5 linked regions of the Canis lupus familiaris genome follow. The protein of the gene in region 1 interacts with the protein of each later gene in a pairwise test. Links are inferred from orthologs where the notes say so. Each region holds a gene or a part of one and is shown in the gene's direction. Other genes may lie near its edges. The genes, in order: NDOR1, CIAPIN1, CCDC33, MTUS2 and TCHP.

Region 1 (3,956 bases):
TCTAGGTAAGTCTTGTCTGGATAGATGGGGCAGTGAGCTCTTGGGTTAGTGCTGCTGGGCAGAGGAAATCCCCAAGTCCAGCTTTGCAGCTTTTGCATATGGAGTACTTCCCCAAGATCCAGGAAAATACTCTGAGCCCATCAGGACATTTTAAGTATATGTAGCTTCCAACTGTCAAAGGAATTCTGTACTGTCTGGTGTGGGGTCCTTCTCAGGATCTCAACTCGTGATTACCTATTCAAAACATGAAATAACAAGAAATACATTTTAAGGATCAAGGCTGCTCTTTTTAGCTTTGCTGAGGGAACAATTTTAGACGATTGGTATAGAGAAAATTGAGCACTCGCCAGAGCAGCAGCTGGCTTTGCTTTCAGACCCAGACTTCTCCTTTGGTACGGTGGAAGGCCCCTTTAGGGCCTCAGCTCGGGGTCCAGCATCCAAGCTATCCAGAGTTCTTTCTCCCGCCTTTCTGCGAGGTTAGTTGACCCTACAGGCACGGATCATGAGCAGCTGCAGAAGAATGAAGACCGGAGACGTGATCAAGCCAAACCAGAGTTCCCGAGTCTGTTCTACCAGCTTCTGGCACAACAACATCTCGAAGACAAACTTGAGGCTAAGAACCGTGAGGACCCAGAAGAGGCGGAGCACAGCCAACCGCTTCTCTCCGTCCTGGAAGAGGCGTACAGACACGATGGTGGTGAAGTAGGTGCTGAGCCCATCAGCGGCGAAGAAGGGCACGAACACGTTCCACCACGAGAGGCCAGGGGCCAGGCCGTCCACCCGCAGCGCCAGCAGCACAGAGAACACCAACAGGGCCAGCAGGTGCACGAAGATCTCGAAGGTGGCGAAGCCCAGCCACTGCACCAGCTCCCGGAGGGAGAAGAGCATCGCGCCGGTTTAGCGCGGGCCGCGGCCCGGCCGAGCGTCTCACCCACGGGACTGCTCCTCCTCTCCCCGCGGGCCTCGCCGGCACCTGCCGCCGTCGCTGCTGCGGCGAGCAGGACACGGCGAGTGGTTCTGCCTGTCCCCGCCTTCGGCCCTGGCGTGGCGCCAACACCCCGGCCCCGGTCCGGGACCCAGTACCGGCCGCTAGCGGACGCCAGCCTTCCTCGGACGCCATGCCCAGCGGGGCGCGTCCTGAGTGCGTCACTTCCGGACGCCGCCAGAAGTCGGAAGTCCCCGCGGATCCGGCTGCCGGGGCTGGCGGGACCTGCCGGCCGTTTGAGTTCCCGGGTGCAGGGCTCTCCGGGCGCGCCCAGATGCCGAGCCCGGGGCTTCTGGTGCTCTTCGGCAGCCAGACCGGCACGGCTCAGGATGTGGCTGAGAGGCTGGGCCGCGACGCTCGGCGCCGGCGGCTCGACTGCCGCGTGCAGGCCCTGGACTCGTACTCGGTGGTGAGGGCCCCCGCGGCCCCGGCGTGCAGACCCAGCTGGCCTGGGGCGTCAGGGCGCCGCATCCTAGCCGACAGCGGGCCCTGCCTTCATGGTGGACTTAGGGCGCGGGAAGCCGGGGTCGGCAACGAGTGGGCAGGGGGGTGGGGGTGGACCCTGACCGAGCAGGTTTAGGCCTCTTGCTCCAGCAGCCTGAGTGGTGGCGAGGGGGCCTGGTCCTTACAGCCTGAGGCCTTACATGTGTGTCTTTTCATTGAGGTGAATCTGATTAATGAGCCCCTGGTGGTATTTGTTTGTGCAACTGCAGGCCAAGGAGAACCCCCCGACAACATGAAGGTAAGGCTGGCTCCTTTGTGGAGCTCAGATTGCTGCCCTGGACCCTCACTGTCCTATCGTTGCCCGAGTGTCCCATAAGCACAATAAACAGTTGCCCTCCCATAGGTGCTGTCAGCTTTGAATGTGGAAGGGTGTCCTGGGGTGGAGCTGGAGGCTTTAGCTGTCCTCTCTAATAAACTCTTCACGGGCACCAAGTAGCCTTCTTCTGCATTTTAACCTTTAATATTTTCTCCAGGGCTGTGTATGGATCAGGTGGTCTATGTGTGTATTTCAAAACCAGGACTTTACCAGAACATTCTTCAGTTCCTTCAACATTCTTGAGCATACACTGTATTCCAAGCGTGATCTAGGGCTGGGCATCCAGCCATGAACCTATTTCTGTCCTCGTGGAGCTCACAATAGAGCAAAAGCAACAATTTTCACAGGCAGTTACGATACTAGGAGATACATGCTGCCAGGGAAAGTGCCAGATGCCATGGGGCATTAATACAAACTTTCTAGCCCAACCTGGGGCCTTAGGGAGAGCTTTCTGGAAGGAAGGCTTGTAGGGCTAAGTCTTGAGGGGGAAGTGGGGCTGGCCTGTGCAGAGGAGAAAGACTACATCTGGGAAGACCAGGAAGCATTTCAGTGTGACAGTGCCAAGGAGAGCACGAGGGTGGGAGGAGAGATGGGATGCAGGAGGCCAGGCCTGGCTCCAAGCAGCCCAGTAGCCACAGTAAGGTGGACGACTCGAGGTGAGGAGCCATGCAATCCACTGGGTGATTCAGGCACATTTGTATTCCAGCAAAACTGCCACTTGCTAATGGGGAGGGCAGGGTACAGGAGAGCAAGAACCCCAGAGGATGCACCCTGCGGGCAGTAGGCTGGTGGCCTGAGCCAGGATGATGTCAGGCAGTGGAAAAATAGACGTGTTCCTGAGATGTTAGGTAGAACCCAGAGAGCATGGAATCAGGTTCAGGCTGGAGGACCAGAATGGATGGCAGTTCCGTGCACAGAGGGACCAGGAAGGCCAAGTGCTAGAAGTTGTCCAGGTGGAGATGCAGGTTTGTGTGGAGATCTAGCAAGGATCTTGGGTGAGGCGTGAGCCAGGACACACCTTCTCCTGGGACAAGGTGCCCTGAGCACCAAGGCCGTGAGAGGTGGAGGAGGACAGGGCAGGAAAGCGGCCCCCACACAGTCAAGAGGGTCAGGGGCACAGAAGTGACTTGTGAGAAGAAGGTTTGCAGCACCCAAATCTGCACAGAAATGAAGTGAGAGAAGGCATGAGCGGCACTAGTCAGGTTTATCAACAAAGGGACTGTGATCGTGACCGTGGGGAAAACAGTTTCAGTAACTCACAGGGAGTGAAGAGGGTCACAGGCTCAACCAGTGAGTGAGTGTAGAAAATCTGCATTGAACCAACTGGTGCCTGGCGGACTCAGTCCATTAGGCGTCCAACTTGATCTCAGCTGAGGTCACAGCCTCAGGGTCTTGAATTCAAGCTCCGTGCCCAGTGTGGAACTTACCCAAAAAAAAAAAAAGATTCTGGCTGTGAATGGGGCTAAGGGGTTGGAAAGAAAGTATTACTAAGATAAGAGAGAGCTGTTATATACTGGGAGGGGAGGTGCAGAGCACAGGGGCAGCCAGAGGCTTAAGATTAAAGAGCAAGGTCACTGTAGGGACAGAGTAGGACACCTGGGGCTGAGACCCTAGCACAGTCAGGAGGGGTCTCCCTAGACAGGAAGAGGCACAGGAGAGGAGGCAAATGTGAGGGGATCAGATGCAGAAGGGTGGGTGCCCAGGACACAGGGCCTGGGAGGGGAGAGGAGACAGAGTTTGCTGAGGTGAGCTGGGCTGGGGTACAGGCTGGATGTCAGCAGGAGGGGGCGAAGGTCATCCCCGGATGACTACAGGCATAGACACCACCATGGGAGTGGTCAGCAGGGGGCCCTCCCCAACCAGAGCAGGGCCTGGAGGCTCCTTGGAGAAGCTGCAGACTGAGGTCCCAGGGACATGGAGGAAGGGGCATGACGCCTGCTGAAGACCCGGTTTAGTGACCAGCTGCACAGAGGGGACCCCTCTGTAGGGCAAGGAAGTCACCAGAGTGGAAGACCCGGCAGGATCCTGGCTGGAAGACCTATGTGGGTGACAGGCCTGAGCTCATGGTTTCCCGTCAGCTTCTTAACTACAAATAGGCCACAAAGAACCACCACAGCCTCAGAAAGACACCACTGCAAGAAACCCAGATAT
Region 2 (3,511 bases), on another chromosome or scaffold:
AGGCAGAGGATATGTGAGCCTGGAAAGGGGTCTCAGGAGGGCTCCTTGTGACTGTGGAAGTGCTCACATGAAGCTGTGAGCATGGTAAGATTGCACAGAGCTGTGCACACCCAGACAAGTGCATGCAAAACTGGTGAGATCTGGGGAGCTCTGTGGACCCTGAGTGATAACTTCCCAGTCTTCTAGTGTGCGGTACTTGTGTATGTTCCCATGGGGGAAACAAGGAGAAGCATCCTTTTTTTTTTTTTTTTTAAATCTTCCTATGCATCTATAGTTATTTCAGAATAAAAAGTTAGAAAATAATGACTGGAAGTCTGGGAGTGATGAGTCGTAATTATTGACTCATATGAAACTAATGATAGGACCCAGGAAATAAAAACCTCTCTTTTTTTTGCTCAGTGATGAAGCTGTCACTTCTGAATTTGTTCCGTTTTCCATCAGTATGTGATGACTCAATTTGTAAATGCAACCAGAGAACGAAAGTATTTTGAAATATGTAAAAGCATTTAGTGGGAATAGAAACTTGTGACGGACACGGCATATGCCAGTGTTCTTTGTTGGAAGTGTAGACCATGGGAAGCTGCAGTGTCTCTCTTGTAGGAACTGCGCAGAGAGTATACTTGTGTGCTTTCTGAGTCCTCAGCCTCCTTTTCACTCAGTGTCCAGAAACCCCAGAAAGTTTCTTCCAAGAAGCCAGGAGAGACAGGACAATAACAATAGAATTATTCTCTGACACTTAAGGGAGTAGGTAAGCACGTACTGAACAACCAGAAGGATTTGTCAAATTAAAATACTGTCACGATCACTTTTATTGCCAGCTGACGCAAATAGGATCCTTTTTGATTTTTCCTGTTTTGGCCCATGAAGCTGCTAATCGGGGTTTTCCTCTTGGCAGTTAACAACAGCAAAGTGAGGACAACATCTAAGCTGTGTTCGGCCCTGACTCTTTCTGGTCTCGTGGAAGTGAAAGAGGTATGTTAGTAGACCACCTCCTTTGCTGGGAACTGAGACCTTGGGTGACCACACCCAGGATCTCTGTCCATAGATCTGGGGAGAATGAGGGAGTAACAGCATGGAAAATGAGGGGTGCAGTGTCACGTAGACTGGGAAGCAAACTGGGAAGTGCTTTGCATGTAAGATACACAGTGTCTCAAAGGACAGAACCTCTGAAACAACTCTCCTTTGAATAGACTCAGCTTGGGCCCCTGTGGGTTGGGGCATATTCTGGTCTCAGTACTGGTGGAGTGGTGGCGCCCATGTTTCAGGGAGAGAGCAACACGGGTCCCTTAATGAACACAAATCCTAGGCCCAAGTGAAACACGGGCACCTGAATCATCCTCAGGTGTTTGGTGGAGGCTGGAGTGGGTCAGGGAAGAATATCCCACTTCTGACAATTCAGTAAAAATACTTAGATTAATTAGAGGTGTTCCTATTTCTACATCCTTCTTTGATGTTGAAATTTTCTTGTGTGAGAGGAAAGTGCTGTACCGTGATAAGTGTTATACCACGGATTTGAGTCAGAGGCTCTACCACTGAGCTGTACCCTCCCGCCCCTTCCGTGCCACAGATTGGCAGCATGACCTAGGGCCTTAGTTTCTTTATGCCCATACTTGCTTATTTTTCTTTTTAGTTTAAGGTTTTCCGGGTTTTTTTGTTTGTTTGTTTTTGTTTTCCGTTTTTTTTTTTTAATCTAAAATAAGAGATGCTCATATAAATTCAATTAATACTAGAGAATATAAGGACGCCTGGGTGGCTCAGCAGTTAAGCGTCTGCCTTCAGCTCAAGTCATGATCCCGGGGTCCCAGAACCGAGTCCCACATTAGGCTCCCGCAGGGAGCCTGCTTCTCGCTCTGCCTGTGTCTCTATCTCTCATGAATAAATAAATAAAATCTTACCCCCCCAAAAAAAATACTGGAGAGTATAGAATTATAAAGTGACATTCCAGGCCTTCCTCACACTTCCCTCCCAAGAGGAAGCCACCAACACATTTTTATGTGTTACTGCTCAGACCTCTGTGAGTGTGTGTGTGACAGGGAGAGACAGGTACTTGTTTAATGTAAATGAGGTCATATGTATACATTATTCAATTACTAGCTTTTTCCACCTTTAAATATCTTCAACATTTATCTATCCCAGTGCATTGCCCCTCACTCTTATTAATGATGTAACAATATTGAGTGCTGTGGAGCAGCTGTGATTTATTTAACCATTCTGTAGTTGCTGGACACAGGTGGCACTCCCACATTGTTTTCTACCTTTATTGTCCGCTGCTTCTTCCCAAGAAAACATTTCCCCCACCTTTATGGTTTTTTTCTCTATTTTATTTCTACTATGTTTATTGTGCGCCTGCCTCTATGTAGTACACCATGAGGCATCATCCTATTCAGGATGCCTGACTCATCTTGATAATCATAATCATTATAACCCGCAGAACAACTGGCACAGTGCCTTGTACCTAATAGACAGGGATTGGTAAATACTTGAAAACTTTCCAGAGGGTTGGCTCAAAGTAAGCACATAAGCAAAGTAGCACTCTAGAGTACAGATCACTGAGAAACTGAATGTGATGATGTCTATCATCTCCTGATATTATGCACTTCGTAACACAGAAATGAGTATTTGACACCTGTATGGGTGGACTTAGTATGACATCATTTTGTGGAAAGAGTGTGACCTACTTCTTTTGATGTCTTGAATTCTAGCTGCAGCAGGAGTCCTTGAGCCCCAAGGAGATACAGTCTGTTCAAGAACACCTGGGTTACCAAAGTGACAACTTGCTCTCTGTGCACATCACAGGCAAAAAACCCAACTTTGAAGTGGGTTCTTCTAGTCAACTGAAGCTTTCTCTGGCCAAGAAGGCTTCTCCCCCGGGTAAGAGTGGCCTGGGGGCATTGTTCTGTCTGGGTGAGCCTAGAAAGACAACTCAGATGTTGAACCAGAGATCTAGACAGAGACAGTGAGGTCTCCAGAGGATTAGTCCTTCCTTCATCTCTGTCATTTCCAAATGGAAAAATGTTTCATGTTCTGTTGTCCTGGGCGTATTCAGATTCTGATGTGAAATAGCACATTAGCTATTACCTCATTTGGCCTCTTCTGCTCTTAGGACACTGAGGCCTCCAGATTCTAGAAGCCTGAGCTACATGATTTAGCTAATGAAGTCTTTCCACACCCCAGAATTACCACACTCATCCTCAGGAGCTCTCGCAGTGGTGGTCGTGGTTGATAAGAGTAGCCTGCACCTCTTCCCATGGGTCCTTTCTATGCTAGTAAAGTCAGCTTTTCTTACTTTGAGGATCTTAAGCCACTTGTAAAAGTATTTCTCCTCAGACAGTTGTACCCGCCCTTTGCCACCCCCTCACCTCATCACTGTTTCATGATGCCTGAATCAAGAGAAATTGCCCAACCATGAGGTATGCAAACATTTGCAGGTACATTCACACTCCTCTGCTTTGACTGGCCAGCCAAAATCTTTAAGAAATCTGCTGGAATCCCAGCCTCTGCTTCCAGAATG
Region 3 (3,511 bases), on another chromosome or scaffold:
CAGCTTGGAGTTCAGTCTGTTCGTTGGCCCGCTGACTTGCAAGTGTGGATGTGGGGTGGGGATCCCAGGGGGGCTGGGGACCAGCTTCTGAGCTCTGGGACCCACAGGAGTTGAACAACTACCGGCGGGCCATGCAGAAGATGGCAGAGGACATCCTGTCCCTGCGGAAACAGACCAGCATGCTGGAGGCCGAGAACCGCATGCTGAGGAGCCAGCTGACCCAAGAGGAGGGGGAAGAGGAGCAGGACAACAGCAACGCCCAGAAGCTGGATGAGGGTACACGGGCCACGGAGGGCATCCGGGGGCCGGCCTGAGCCCAGGCTCTGGATGGCGGGCCAGGGTGGGTGGAGCCTTTCCCAGGCGTGCCTGCCCCTGGACACCAGCAGGGGCCCACACCCTCTCAGGAACGGGAACGGAGACTCCAGTCCTCTGTCTCAAGCCCCGGGACTGAGAGACCCCTGCCCCCACCCAGCTGTGCTGAGCTGGAGATGCCTCTTCCCTGAGCCAGCTCCCCTCCCCCACCAGTGTCCATGAAGCAGAAACTGGTGCTGAGTGAGCTGGACATGAAGAAATTGAGGGACAAAGTGCAGTATTTGCAGAATGAGCTGATTCGAGTGAGCCGGGGCTGGGGGAGCTGAGGGGAGGGGAGCTGGGGGGTATTCAGCCAAGAGTCTGGGAGCAGATGGGAGAGAGGCATGGAGGGATGGGCTCACCGTAGTGGAAGGCTCAGGGGAGGGCCCCAGTGTGACCCGAGGCACCCCTTCTTTCCCCATCCCCCTCCTTCCCCCACCATCAGAAGAATGATCGAGAGAAGGAGCTGCTCCTCCTGCACCAGGCTCAGCAGCCACAGGCCACGCTGCTGAAACGGTACCAGGACAAGCTGCAGAAGATGAAGGCGCTGGAGGAGACCGTGCGGCACCAGGAGAAGGCAGGGGTCACAGGGGACAGCCCGCCAGGCGCCAGCCTCGGAGCACAAGGTGGGGAGACCCCCGGCCAGCCCAGCCTCTGTGCTCTGCCCTCCAGGTGATCGAGAGGATGGAGCGGGTGCTGGAGGACAAGCTGCGGGATTGGAGGGAGCCCCTGCTAAACAGGCCTCAGGGAAAGCCTCCCATGGGTGCGTCTGCTCCCCGGCCTTTGTCCCACCCCTGGGGGCCCCGGCTACCCGCAGCAACGGCTCCGAGGGCAGAACTGGGGCAAAGGATGCTACCTCCCTACGGATGCAGGCAGGGAGGGGCTCTCAAGGGTCCCCTGGGCTCCCTTCTGCCAAGGAGCCCCTCAGGATGCATCGGGACCGTGTGTGAGCCAGGCTGGAAAGAGAGCGGGTCCTGCTCAGACCCCAGAGGAGACGCCCCCTGTTCTGGAGCAAGCAGTCAGGGGCTGCCCGAGAGGAGGGGCGGCCTAACCCTTCCCGGTACCTCCTCGTCTCCCCAAGTTCTCAGGGAGTCTGCTTCTACAGAACAAACAGTACTGGCCTTGATGTTAAGCAAAGCCACCTAGAACTGGCCAACTGGGTGGCTCAGACGAGCTGGGGAGAAGCGGGGGGGCCCAGGCAGGGAGCCCCCGAGCCTCCCGTGCAGCCTCACTGAGAAGCCCTGTGTGCCCAGCCCGCGTCAGCCTTCAGTGCATGGGGTGTTGGCGGGGGGCGCTTCGGGAGGCCTTCGGGAAGCAGCGCAAGCCGGGGCTGCCTTCCAGGCACCCCAGCGTCATCCCAGAGCGGGGCCGAGGGGGGCCGAGGGGGGCCGAGGGCTCAGAGCATGGGCAGACCAGGGGCGGGAAGGAAGGAAAGAGAGCGGCAAAGAGCTACAATAGACCCAGGGCCAACAGGGAGCACTGGGGGCGGGTTCTAAGGAGCCTAGAATGATGCCTGAGGCCTGTGGCCCCGGTTCCGTGGGCGGCAGGGAGCCACGGAAGACTTGGGAGCAGAGGAGGAGCAGAATGGAGCACAACCGGGGCGGAGCAGCCCGGGGGCGTGCGGACGGGAAAGCCCATCTCAGAGCCTGTGGCCCGTCCGCAGCCTTCCCCGTGCTCCCAGCCTCCGGCCTTCCGCTGGGGACCGCAGGAGAGCCCCTGCCTGCCGACCTGTACTCAGCCTTGCTGGCAGAGAACTCCCGGCTGCGGGCAGAGCTGGAGAAGAACCGCCACCAGCCGGCCCCCATCATCCTGCAGCAGCAGGCCCTGCCGGTAAGAGCCACCAGCACCCACTCGGCCCGGGCCGCCCCAACAGGTGGTGGGTGCGTAGCGGTCTCACCCAGCACAATCCGAGTAGAAGACCACGACCAGGCGCTGGGCTTCCGGGGTCTCCAGCGCACCCCCAGCCCTCGGGCCTGCTCTTTTCTCCCGGGGGGAGCACACGTGGGCCTGCAGCCTCCACATTTGCCCTTGGCTAGCAGCCTGGGAGAAAGCAGGTCCCTCGTGGCCCCTGACCTTTGATCCCTATTGCCACCTGGCTGGCCTGCACTTGGACTCGGCGCCAGCCTCTCTGAGCTCTGTCCTGGAGCATTTCCTGGGATGGTACAGCCTTGGAGAGCCTTTTCCCCATCCCAGGAGGACCCCGGGGAGTTGGGAACAGGAGGAGACCTGGCAGAGAGACTGCAAGAGACAGATGGCCCAGGCCACTCCAAGGGCACAGAGACCTTGCCCGCACAGGTGGGTGTCCCGGCCCCAGAAGTGCCCGAGCCCCGCTCCATCTCCAAGGCTGCTGCCGGCACCCCTGCTTTATGCAAACCCAAAGACAAGACACTGGAATTACAGAAGAGGGGTGGGCAGGGAGCCCAGGAGAGCTCTTCTGTTCATCCCGGGACTTGCAGGAGGTGAGTTCTGTTAGAAAGCACACCTGATGCATGGACATCCAGGTAAAGTGCGGGGACAGGGGAGCCCTTGCTTCCATAGTCTTCACTTTACAAAAAAGACACCCTCCTCCAAGATTCCTTGCTGGGCGCTCTCGGGGGCTGCTTAGTGAGGTTTATGGTTAGAAAGTGACTTGCAGAAACTCCGCATAAGCGAAGTCCCTGGGGGAGGACAGGGGTGACAAAAGCACCTGCCATCTCAGGTCAGCTTCGGGAGGAGGGTTCGGCGCTGGGCCTGAGGCTCTGCACTGGGGAGCTGGGAACTCAGACCTGGCTGGCGTCTCCCTCAGTGGCTCACGGCCCCCCGAGCCCCCACGGCTGCGGACCCCGCGGGAGCCGGGTGGGTGAGTCTCCGCTCCGCCCGCAGGATCTCCTTGCCAGCACTTCGGACAAGTTCAGCCTTCTGGCCAAGCTAGAACGAGCTCAGAGCCGGATCCTGTCCCTGGAGAGCCAGGTAGGTGAGCCAGGCAGGGGCCAGTCAGGCTGGGCACACTCGCCACTCAGCCCTTGACCTTTAGGCTCCCAAGTACGGCCAGGGTTGTGACTCCGTGTGTGACCAGGGTCAGGGCTCAGCGTATTGTTGGAACTCAGAGAAGGTCTGTCCGTGTCTGGATCAGGCTGCCCCTCCCCACCCACCCCTGCCACACCTGATGTGTCTGGAAGGC
Region 4 (4,215 bases), on another chromosome or scaffold:
TGATTTGGGTTGGGCTGGACTTTTTAACACTGGAGAATCAGCCTGTTTACTAACACTTAACAGCGGCAAGGCAAAGCTGTGAAAACTGTCCTAGATTCTTCCAAAGGGGAAGGGAGAGCTGACAGAATGATTTCAAAAGACAGTGTGGAAAAAAGGTGCTACTTCGCGATCCCCGGTCACCAAGTCGTTCAGCTTGTTTAAAAAGCTAACTTGTATAGAACACTATAGGTAACATGGTAGTTTGGAAAAAGACACCCTTAAAAGAAAGAAAAGAAAAGAAAAGAAAAGAAAAGAAAAGAAAAGAAAAGAAAAGAAAAGAAAAGAAAAGAAAAGAAAAACAAGCCCTAAATGGCACAAGGGGCAACATCACGGTTTCATTTTTTTTAATAGTAAACATTTGTTCCACTGCGGCTGAGCCAGAGGAGGAAGTTCTCTGATCTCAGTTGCCTTTTCAAACCTTCCAGGTGCGTTCCTAGGGAAGCCGGGGGCAGTTCGGGTAGGGCTGGAAAGGTCTTGGAGAAGTCCATGCGTCTATTTATGAGAGTGGCCAAGCTCTCTGCAGGCCCGCAGTATCAGGCACAGAAGCACCGGCTTCTAGAAGGACACGCCTGCCTTTTCTGCAGCCATTACCAGAGATTAGCTTTGGGTCCTTGTGAATCAGGAATCCTACTGCCCCCCCCCCCCCGACCCCCCAAGTTTTTCCCACTTCGGATCCCAGATTCCTCCTGCTGCCCGGAATTCGAATCTTGTCTCTCTCTTCCGTCCCAAGAGGAAAAACAGCGGATCCCGTTCTCGGACGCCGCCTCGGTCCTACTCCGTCCTTCCCCGGGGCCGCGGGGACCCTCGCGGCCCCGCGCCCCCGCCCGCCCCCGCCCGCCCCCGCCGCCGCCGGCCCGGAGCCCAACGCGGCGCGCACGGAGGCCCCGCGGCCCGCAGAGGGCGCTGCGGCTCCCCGGCGGCGCGGCTGCGGTCGGCGGGGCCGGGGCCGGGAGGAGGCGCCCGGGCCCCGGCGTGTGCGTCTCGGGGCGGCCGGGAGGGGGTGCGCGCCTCTGCCGCCCCGCGCCGCCCTCCCGCGCCCGCCCGCTCGCCGCCCCGCGCTGTCCCCCCGCCCGCCCCCGCCCCCGCCAGCGCCGCGCGCTCCGAGCCTCGGGCTTCGCCGCCGCCCGCCCCGCCGCCCGTCTTTGTCCGGGAGAGGCGGCCGGAGCAGCGGTGGCCGCGGCGGCCGAGCCGGGCGTGCTGTCGGCGGGCGCCGGCCGCGGGCCCCGGGGGCCGGGAAGCGCCCGCCGCGGGGGCGGAGGCGGAGGCCTGGGCGGTGCCCGCGCGAGGTGCGTGCGGGGGCGGGGCGCGGGCGGGGGCGGGGCCGGGGCCGGGGCGACGGTGCGGGCGAGCGCGCTGCAGGTGCGGGGGCGTCCCCGGCCGCGCCGCCTCCGCGGGCCTCTGGGGCAAGTTTGCCGCGCCCCTCCCCGCGGCCGACCTCCGTGGCCCGCCCGCCGCGTCCGGACCTGTCGCTAAATAGAAAACTCGAGCTGGAAGAGGCGGCGGAGGGAGCGGAGGAGGCAGCGCGTCGGCCGCGGGCCGGGACGGAGCCCCGTTGAGGGCAGCGGCGGCCTCTTGGACGGCTGCCCCCGCTCTTCCCACCAGGTGAGCGAGTCGGGCCGGGGCCACGCCCGCCGGCAGGTGGCCGAGTCGGGGTGACGGCAGCCGGGCTCGGAGCCGCGCCGCGCCGCGTTTACCTGGCTTTTCTGTGCTCGCGGCACTTCTTCCTTCCTGCCCGCACCACCTGCTCGGGCTGAGGTCTGGCAGCTCATTTGGCGCCTTCGCTGCTGCCAGGTCAAGCGTCCTGTTTCGGGAGGGGGTAGGTGAGCGGACCCGAGTCCTTCCCTCCGCCTCCAGCTTCGGGTAATTTGTTCTGTGCCTTCGTCTTAATTTAGTATGAATGTGTTATTTCCTTTGAGCTTTAGGATGATAAAGCAGTGAAGCGGTTTGCTACATCCATTTTTTTCCCCTTCTCATTCTGAGCCTGTGCACAGAGGAATTTCAGGCACAGAAGTGATGTTACTACCGTTCTATTTTAAATACAAACATGGAAAGAAGTACTCTTGGCAGGGTACCAAAGGCGCCTGTACTCTCTGTTATATAAGTACTTCAAAAAATAGTTGCTCATTGGTAAAGTTATAATAGTGATTACCAGAGCACCTGAGGAGAAGGGTTGAAGAGAAGTCAAAACTATTTTCAACCCCAACTTTACTTGAAGAGAAGCATGGTCTTAGCTTGAGGGATCCTTTAAGATGATCTAGGGAGGGCGCGTCCTTTGAACTCATTAGACAGATTTGCAAAACATTAAAAAGTAAAAGAGGTTCTGTAAAGGCTATTGAGAAACTTCGTGAAAAATTTTGACTACTTATTGATAGAAATAAAAACAGAAGATCCCACAGATCTCTCTTATGGCTTTCAAACTACTGAATGATTTTCTTTTTATATCTGGTAGAGACTTAGTAATTTTGAGCTATCGGTTATTAAAGATCCCTCCTCACTAAAACTTCTTGTATCCATGGTTATTTTCTTTTCAGGTAAGAAGAAGACAAAAATAGAAAACGTCGGAAATTCTGATGTCTAGGCACCCCCTCTTGTGCCCCCACCTTAGTATTCCTATCTGTTTTTAATTTATATTATCATGGTTTGGGGCGATGCTGAGGCATTTGAAATGTTAAAAGCTCTCTTGCTGATTCTTGTGCAGCCAGGGCTGAGACCCATTGGGGAGCACTGCTCCTTTTAGTTTTATCACCTTTTAGCCCAACATGTGGCTTCAGTGGTGTAAGGTAAATAAAAAAAAAAAGTGGTTAAAATTTGGGGGAGGTTATGCCTAGATGGCTCAGTTAGTTAAGCATCTGCCTTTTCTCAGGTCATGATCTCGGGGTGTTGGAATTGAGCCCCACATCAGGTTCCCTGCCCAGCGGGGATTCTGCTTCTCCCTCTTTCTGCTCCTGCTCTCTCTCTCCATCTCCCTCAAATAAATAAAATCTTTTAAAAAATGGGAAAGAAAAACAGTATTGGGAAGATGTGTCGAAGAATTATAGTATGTGCACTTTTGTATTGTATCCAGAGGTCTTCCTTGATTATTTTTTAAGCCTGCAGAAGTCCTTGTTGTTTCTCAGAGACCCATAATTCCAAGTAAAATATGTAGAGGAGTCCTAAGTGGGACATTTCTTTGTGCCGAGGTAATAGTGAAGTTGAGTATAGTGTCAGGGTTTTGCTTCTGGGTGCACGAAAAGATAATCCAGCCTTATTAAAAAAATCTAATTAAAAACTTAATGTAGACTAGTAAATTAAGTGTGAAAAGCTTTTTATTATTTTTAAGGTTGGAAATAGACCTGGCTGCTGACTCAGGGTTTTCTGTCTACCTTATGTAATTTCAAATATTCAGCTCTTATGGGTGGTTTATGAAGGCTTATGTAAGAACTATGCTTTTTCATACTCTGTTCAACTCTGTGTTTTGGCTATTACATAATTGACACAGTACTAGATTGTTAGAGCCCAAATAGGGGAAGGATGCACAACCCCAGGCCGGCACATGGACTTTTATAATGAATTGTGGCTGCCAAATTAGAGGGAACGGCAGGGATGGAGGTTTGTGAAAGAGAGATAAGAATAGCATCTAGAGGATTGATGTAATAGAATGCTGTTAAGCTTAGCGGTTTTCTAGAGATTTTAATGCTGCGGTATAAACCGCTCTAGTCTTTTATTTCTCCCAGCAGAGGCGGATTTACTGGGAAGCTAATGAATCTTAAACTTCAGGGCCCCTCACACAGGTTTCTTCTGAGCCCCTGGAAAGCCACTAGCAATGAGTTCACATGGTCATACCTAATTTTGTGTTTGCATTTTAGATTTTTTAAAAATAAGGATGACACTCTCTCCACCCCCCTGCCTCCCATCATATAAATGTAATGCTCTGCAAACTTGGAATCTCTTCTGGCTCTCAATTATTTTTGAATGTTAAGTTAACTTGTAAAAATGCTTTTTCTCCTTTTAACATCCCCAGTCTTCTGAAAAGACAAAATTTGAAATCTGGCCAATGGTGTAGTTGACCTACTGAAAAAGAGCAAAGTGCTATAACCTAGGGCTGTGTGGAGCTACTGAGATCAGGTGGTTACCTGGAGAACCAACTCTTTGCCTTGTGATTTTGCACAAATGGGGCTTTTTTTGGACCTGGGTGTA
Region 5 (4,303 bases), on another chromosome or scaffold:
AATAGCACTGCTGGTATTCTTGTTAAAAGGTAAACTGAGGCACATTAATTTTTTTTTTCAAGAGTGTACTTGGAATATATCAATTTTAACTGGGTAGTGCCAGGCCAATGTGGGTAGGAACTCTCTGCCACACACAGGACCTGGGGGAGAGCTTTTTATTTTATTTTATTTTATTTTATTTTATTTTATTTTATTTTATTTTATTTTATTTTATAGAGAAGAGACAAAAGCAAAGCAAGGAAATCATTTTATTGGCTACAGCTTAAGTAGTTGCTTTATTTGGGCAAGGCTAGGTGGCTGTTTGACCTCACGTTTACTTTTTCTCAGATTTGAGAGCCTTGATTCTGGTGTTGGTTTTGGTTTGCTTGCTGGGCTAGCAAGGCATCAGAGCTGCCTCATCTAATGGTCTCCCTGTTCAATTACTTGACCATTCTCTTTTCCCAGAGAGGTGAGGTGAGGTGACCTGCCCGAGACCTCATAACTGGCTTGTGGGGGGGTCGGAATAGAGGCCAAAATGTTCAAGATACTGACTATGCTGTACCCAGAAAAAAACCCAGACAGATGAAAGAGAATGAAGGGAGGAATTAAGAGAATTAAACATGAAGAATGAGCAAACAAAAGAGGATAAATGAGTGAAGTCATCTTTATGACTTTTTTTAAGGTAAGTTTATTTAAACAAAATTTTAAACTATGCTTTATGGCCAACATGGGGCTTGAACTCATGATCTAGACATCAGGAGTGCGCAGGTTCCCCCAAATGAGCCAAGTGCACACCCCTTTACCACCGTTTTCATACATAAAATAATACATGGAACACATGTGAGTCCTGAAGCACCAATGAACACCCTTGTACCCACCACCAAGCTAGACAACAGTTACCAATAGCTTGTATGCACTTAGGTGACCGTTCTTGGAACCCGGGGCACACTGAGTGCATCTGGGGGCCCGACAACCCTGACAACTGGAGAACCTGATGGGATCGGCCTGGAGTTTGGTTCTTGCATCTGAATTTATTTGTTTCTTGTTTAAAGGCATCTGGACTTAAAAAAAAGAAAGCTCTATTTACTCCTGAGAGACACAGGCAGAGGGAGAGGCAGGCTCCGCGCAGGGCGCCCGACGCGGGGCTCGATCCCAGGTCCCCAGGATCACGCCCAACCGCGGAGCCCCGCAGGCGCCTCGGCAGCGGCCGTTTAAGACCCCCCCCCCCCCCCCCGGGTAATCTCCGTGTGCAGCCAGGCCCGAGACCCGCCCAGTCCTCACCTCGATCACCACCCCCCACCCGCGCCCTCCCGGGTAACTACCATCCTGAATTTTGCCTAGTCGTGAAGAGGCTTCTTTTTGCCTTCATCCTTCCTTGGTTCCGGGACTAGCGATGTTTGGGATTGATCTCCCGCCCCACCGCGAGAGGGCGCCAGAGGAAAAAAAGAAAAACCCAAACCAGCCTCCTTTCTCTCCGCGCGTTTGGGATCGCGCTGGAGGCAGCTTGGCCCTCGCGGCGCTCCGTCGTCGATCCGTTGCCCGGGCAACGGGCGGGGAAACCGCCGGCGTGGGGGCCGTGCGGCGCCGGGAAGGTGGCGGCGGGACGGGGCGGGCGTGGCTGGGGCATGCACGAGCTCGGCGGGGGCGCTTTTCGGAAACTCCGGGGCGCTGAGAAACGTGAGTCGGACGGTGGGCTCGGCCGGGCGGGTGTGGGCGCCGGGACCCCGTGGCCCCGCGCGGGCGGGAACCGTGGCGGACGTCCTGGGGCCCGGCCTCCCCGCGCCGTCCCCGCGCCGTCCCCGCGCCCCCTGCGGCCGTCCTGCGCCCTCCCCGCACCCACCCTGCGTCTGTCCCGCTCCCCCCCCCCCCCCCGCGCGTTCCTTGCGCCCCCTGCGGCGGTCCTGCGCCCTCCCTGCGCCCTCCCTGCGCCCTCCCTGCGCCTTGCTCTGCAACTCCTTTTGTCTTAGGAGGCTGTCTTAGGGGCTGAGAGAAAGAGGCGATCCGGGACCAGTCTTGTTTCTTGATTCCTGGTGCAGAGCTTTTCATGGGGTGCTTTTGGGGCAGGGAAAACGTGATGCCAGTCCGCCCCAGTTTCAAGACAGGCTGTAAACTGGCAGCCGCAGACCATGAACGCACATTATGTTCTTGCAGGTCTGAGCACTGAGTTTGAGGCTTGGCCTGGACCCAGACTTCTAAGCATATTCAGGAAACATTCCATGAGCACTGTGGTAGCCAGACACTGTGTAGGCCCTGCCCATCGGGGCAGCCCTGGGGTCAGGGAGAGGGGTGCCTGGACTGAGACTGCTGCCTGCTTTCAAGTCTCCATTGTGTCCCCGTTTTGCGTCGTGACCTGGGCAACTCGATTCCTTTCTGGGTCTCAGTTTCTCCATTTCTAAGTGGAGGAATGTCACCCCCGTGCTAATCCAGAACACTTCCAGGTGTGACAGCCAGGCTGGAGCACTCCCTGGGGGTTGCCTGACCCAGGGCCTGTTGGTCCCCATGGGCAGCCTATTGACATCTACAGAGCCCAGGCCCTGGTCTGACACTGGCGTGAATTAGGTTCCCAGCCCTTTCATCTCTTCTGCTTCCTGGCTCTGTGGTCTTGGGCAAGTCACTTTACCATTTTGAACTTGAGTTTGCTCACCTGCCAAATAATGGGGTGATTTTAACAATGAAAAAGATCATGTATGCCAAGAGCTTGGCACATATATACATTCCTGAAATCGTTATCCCTGTTACTTGGTGGAGAACATAGAAGCCCCCAAGTGCTTGGGTCAGCATTGGTTCCAGTCTTCGTCTGCAACGCCCTTGATGATGTCTGGCTCACAGCTGGGTGCAGTCCAGGCTCATTTAAAATAATGATATGCAAGTCATTTTAAAAATGCTGATGCCTGGGGGCGGGCACTAAGACTTCTGGTGTCATTGGTTTGGAGTGGGGTAATTCCAGGGGGCAGCCAAGGGGTGAGGACCGCTCATTAGGGAGCTGCAGCAGGCCCATTTTCGTACCATTGCCATTCTCTTCAGATGGCACTTCCCACGCTGCCCTCCTACTGGTGCAGCCGGAGGCTCCTGGACCAGCAGATGGCCCGACAGCGACACCGAGAGCAGGAGGCCCGGCTTCGGCAGCAGTGGGACCAGAACAGCCGCTACTTCAGGATGTCTGATATCTGTAGCTCCAAACAGGCGGAATGGAGCTCCAAGACCTCCTACCAGCGGAGGTACCTGCTGGGACCTTGGTGGGACAAAGGCAGGAAGCCACTTGTTGGTTACGGCTTGTGGCTTTAAGAACCCCTGGCGGGGGATGGGAAGGTAGAACATGGCTTAACAGCATGTTTTCTTGAATTTGCTGGACGGCATAGATGACTTGCATGGTGATGTTTACTGACCATTGAAAAGGAAGATCATCATGAAATGATATGTTTGCACTGAAAAGGAGAAAAGAATAGGAAATACATGTAGAATTTGGGAGTCTCCTGGTAACCCTAGATCCCCTGAGGGAACTACAATTAACAGTCTAATATGGATCCTCCTGTGCTTTTCCCCAGTTGTGTGTGTATAAATATACATATACATGTACATCCTTTGTTGCAGAAATATGTGTAAAGATGTGAAAGTTAAAAGCATAGGCTTCAGAGTCAGACAAACCTAGATGGAAATCCTGACTGTGTCACTTGCTGTAGGAATGAGCCTCAGTTTCTTCTTCAGTGAAGTAGGGCTACAACAGGACCTCCTTTGTAGGACTTTTGATTAATAGAAAGCCATCCATGTACATAGTATCTGGTACATGGTTACTGGTCAAAGTTAGCTGGTACATGCATATATGAGACCACTGTACATTTTCTTTTCACAAAAACCAGATTCTGTTATGCATAGTGTTCTGTGACCCGCTGTCTTTGCTTCGGCTGGAAGACACTTGCCCGTGTCACCATGTCATGTCCGCCTCAGCCTCCTTTGCCACGCATCAGAGCAGAGCATGCCATGTGTGGCTCTAGTGCGGCTGATTTAGGGAGGGCTCCCTCTCACCCAGCATGTATGCCTATCAGCGTGAGAAGATGAAGGAGGAGAAGAGGAAGCAGCTGGAAGGCAGACGGGAGAGGCTCAGGCAGCTGCTGCTGGAGGAGCAGGAGCTGCTGGCCAGAGAACTCGAGGCGCTGCGGTTAAGCATGGACTTGCGGGAGGGAAGAATCCGGGAGCGGCACGGCAGTCTGAAGTCGGCCCGAGAAGAGCAAAGAAAACTGGTAACTTCTAGCCCTTTAGGAGCAACAGAGCAGGAGTGTCCCCAGCTTGTCAGTGACATGTGGGATCACGGCTGGGCACTCTGGGC

Evidence for each region.
Region 2: the proteins of NDOR1 (region 1) and CIAPIN1 interact in binary tests that used the Homo sapiens proteins (3 or more experiments, as listed by UniProt). The two-hybrid records come from large-scale screens. The link is inferred for Canis lupus familiaris from reciprocal best matches to the Homo sapiens genes NDOR1 and CIAPIN1.
Region 3: the proteins of NDOR1 (region 1) and CCDC33 interact in a two-hybrid assay, tested with the Homo sapiens proteins (2 studies listed by BioGRID and IntAct). The two-hybrid records come from large-scale screens. The link is inferred for Canis lupus familiaris from reciprocal best matches to the Homo sapiens genes NDOR1 and CCDC33.
Region 4: the proteins of NDOR1 (region 1) and MTUS2 interact in binary tests that used the Homo sapiens proteins (3 or more experiments, as listed by UniProt). The two-hybrid records come from large-scale screens. The link is inferred for Canis lupus familiaris from reciprocal best matches to the Homo sapiens genes NDOR1 and MTUS2.
Region 5: the proteins of NDOR1 (region 1) and TCHP interact in binary tests that used the Homo sapiens proteins (3 or more experiments, as listed by UniProt). The two-hybrid records come from large-scale screens. The link is inferred for Canis lupus familiaris from reciprocal best matches to the Homo sapiens genes NDOR1 and TCHP.

What each region holds. Positions count from the first base shown.
Region 1 is NC_049230.1:48,445,579-48,449,534, reverse strand, and holds the start of NDOR1 (NADPH-dependent diflavin oxidoreductase 1), read left to right. Parts: upstream 1-1,154; 5' UTR 1,155-1,259; coding exon 1,260-1,394; intron 1,395-1,493; exon of another isoform or gene 1,494-1,649; coding exon 1,650-1,727; intron 1,728-1,962; exon of another isoform or gene 1,963-3,956. Other genes in the region: TMEM203 (transmembrane protein 203), read right to left, coding at 478-888. UniProt on the Homo sapiens protein: NADPH-dependent reductase which is a central component of the cytosolic iron-sulfur (Fe-S) protein assembly (CIA) machinery.
Region 2 is NC_049223.1:58,254,968-58,258,478, forward strand, and holds part of CIAPIN1 (anamorsin), read left to right. Parts: intron 1-895; coding exon 896-972; intron 973-2,702; coding exon 2,703-2,871; intron 2,872-3,511. UniProt on the Homo sapiens protein: Component of the cytosolic iron-sulfur (Fe-S) protein assembly (CIA) machinery required for the maturation of extramitochondrial Fe-S proteins.
Region 3 is NC_049251.1:37,908,062-37,911,572, forward strand, and holds part of CCDC33 (coiled-coil domain-containing protein 33), read left to right. Parts: intron 1-107; coding exon 108-276; intron 277-525; coding exon 526-614; intron 615-796; coding exon 797-928; coding exon of another isoform or gene 929-977; intron 978-1,023; coding exon 1,024-1,114; intron 1,115-2,014; coding exon 2,015-2,181; intron 2,182-2,474; exon of another isoform or gene 2,475-2,544; coding exon 2,545-2,646; coding exon of another isoform or gene 2,647-2,810; intron 2,811-3,213; coding exon 3,214-3,300; intron 3,301-3,511.
Region 4 is NC_049246.1:11,012,804-11,017,018, reverse strand, and holds the start of MTUS2 (microtubule-associated tumor suppressor candidate 2), read left to right. Parts: upstream 1-1,409; 5' UTR 1,410-1,641; intron 1,642-4,215. UniProt on the Homo sapiens protein: Binds microtubules. Together with MAPRE1 may target the microtubule depolymerase KIF2C to the plus-end of microtubules. May regulate the dynamics of microtubules at their growing distal tip.
Region 5 is NC_049247.1:17,591,740-17,596,042, reverse strand, and holds the start of TCHP (trichoplein keratin filament-binding protein), read left to right. Parts: upstream 1-1,502; 5' UTR 1,503-1,656; intron 1,657-3,003; coding exon 3,004-3,197; intron 3,198-4,006; coding exon 4,007-4,217; intron 4,218-4,303. UniProt on the Homo sapiens protein: Tumor suppressor which has the ability to inhibit cell growth and be pro-apoptotic during cell stress. Inhibits cell growth in bladder and prostate cancer cells by a down-regulation of HSPB1 by inhibiting its phosphorylation.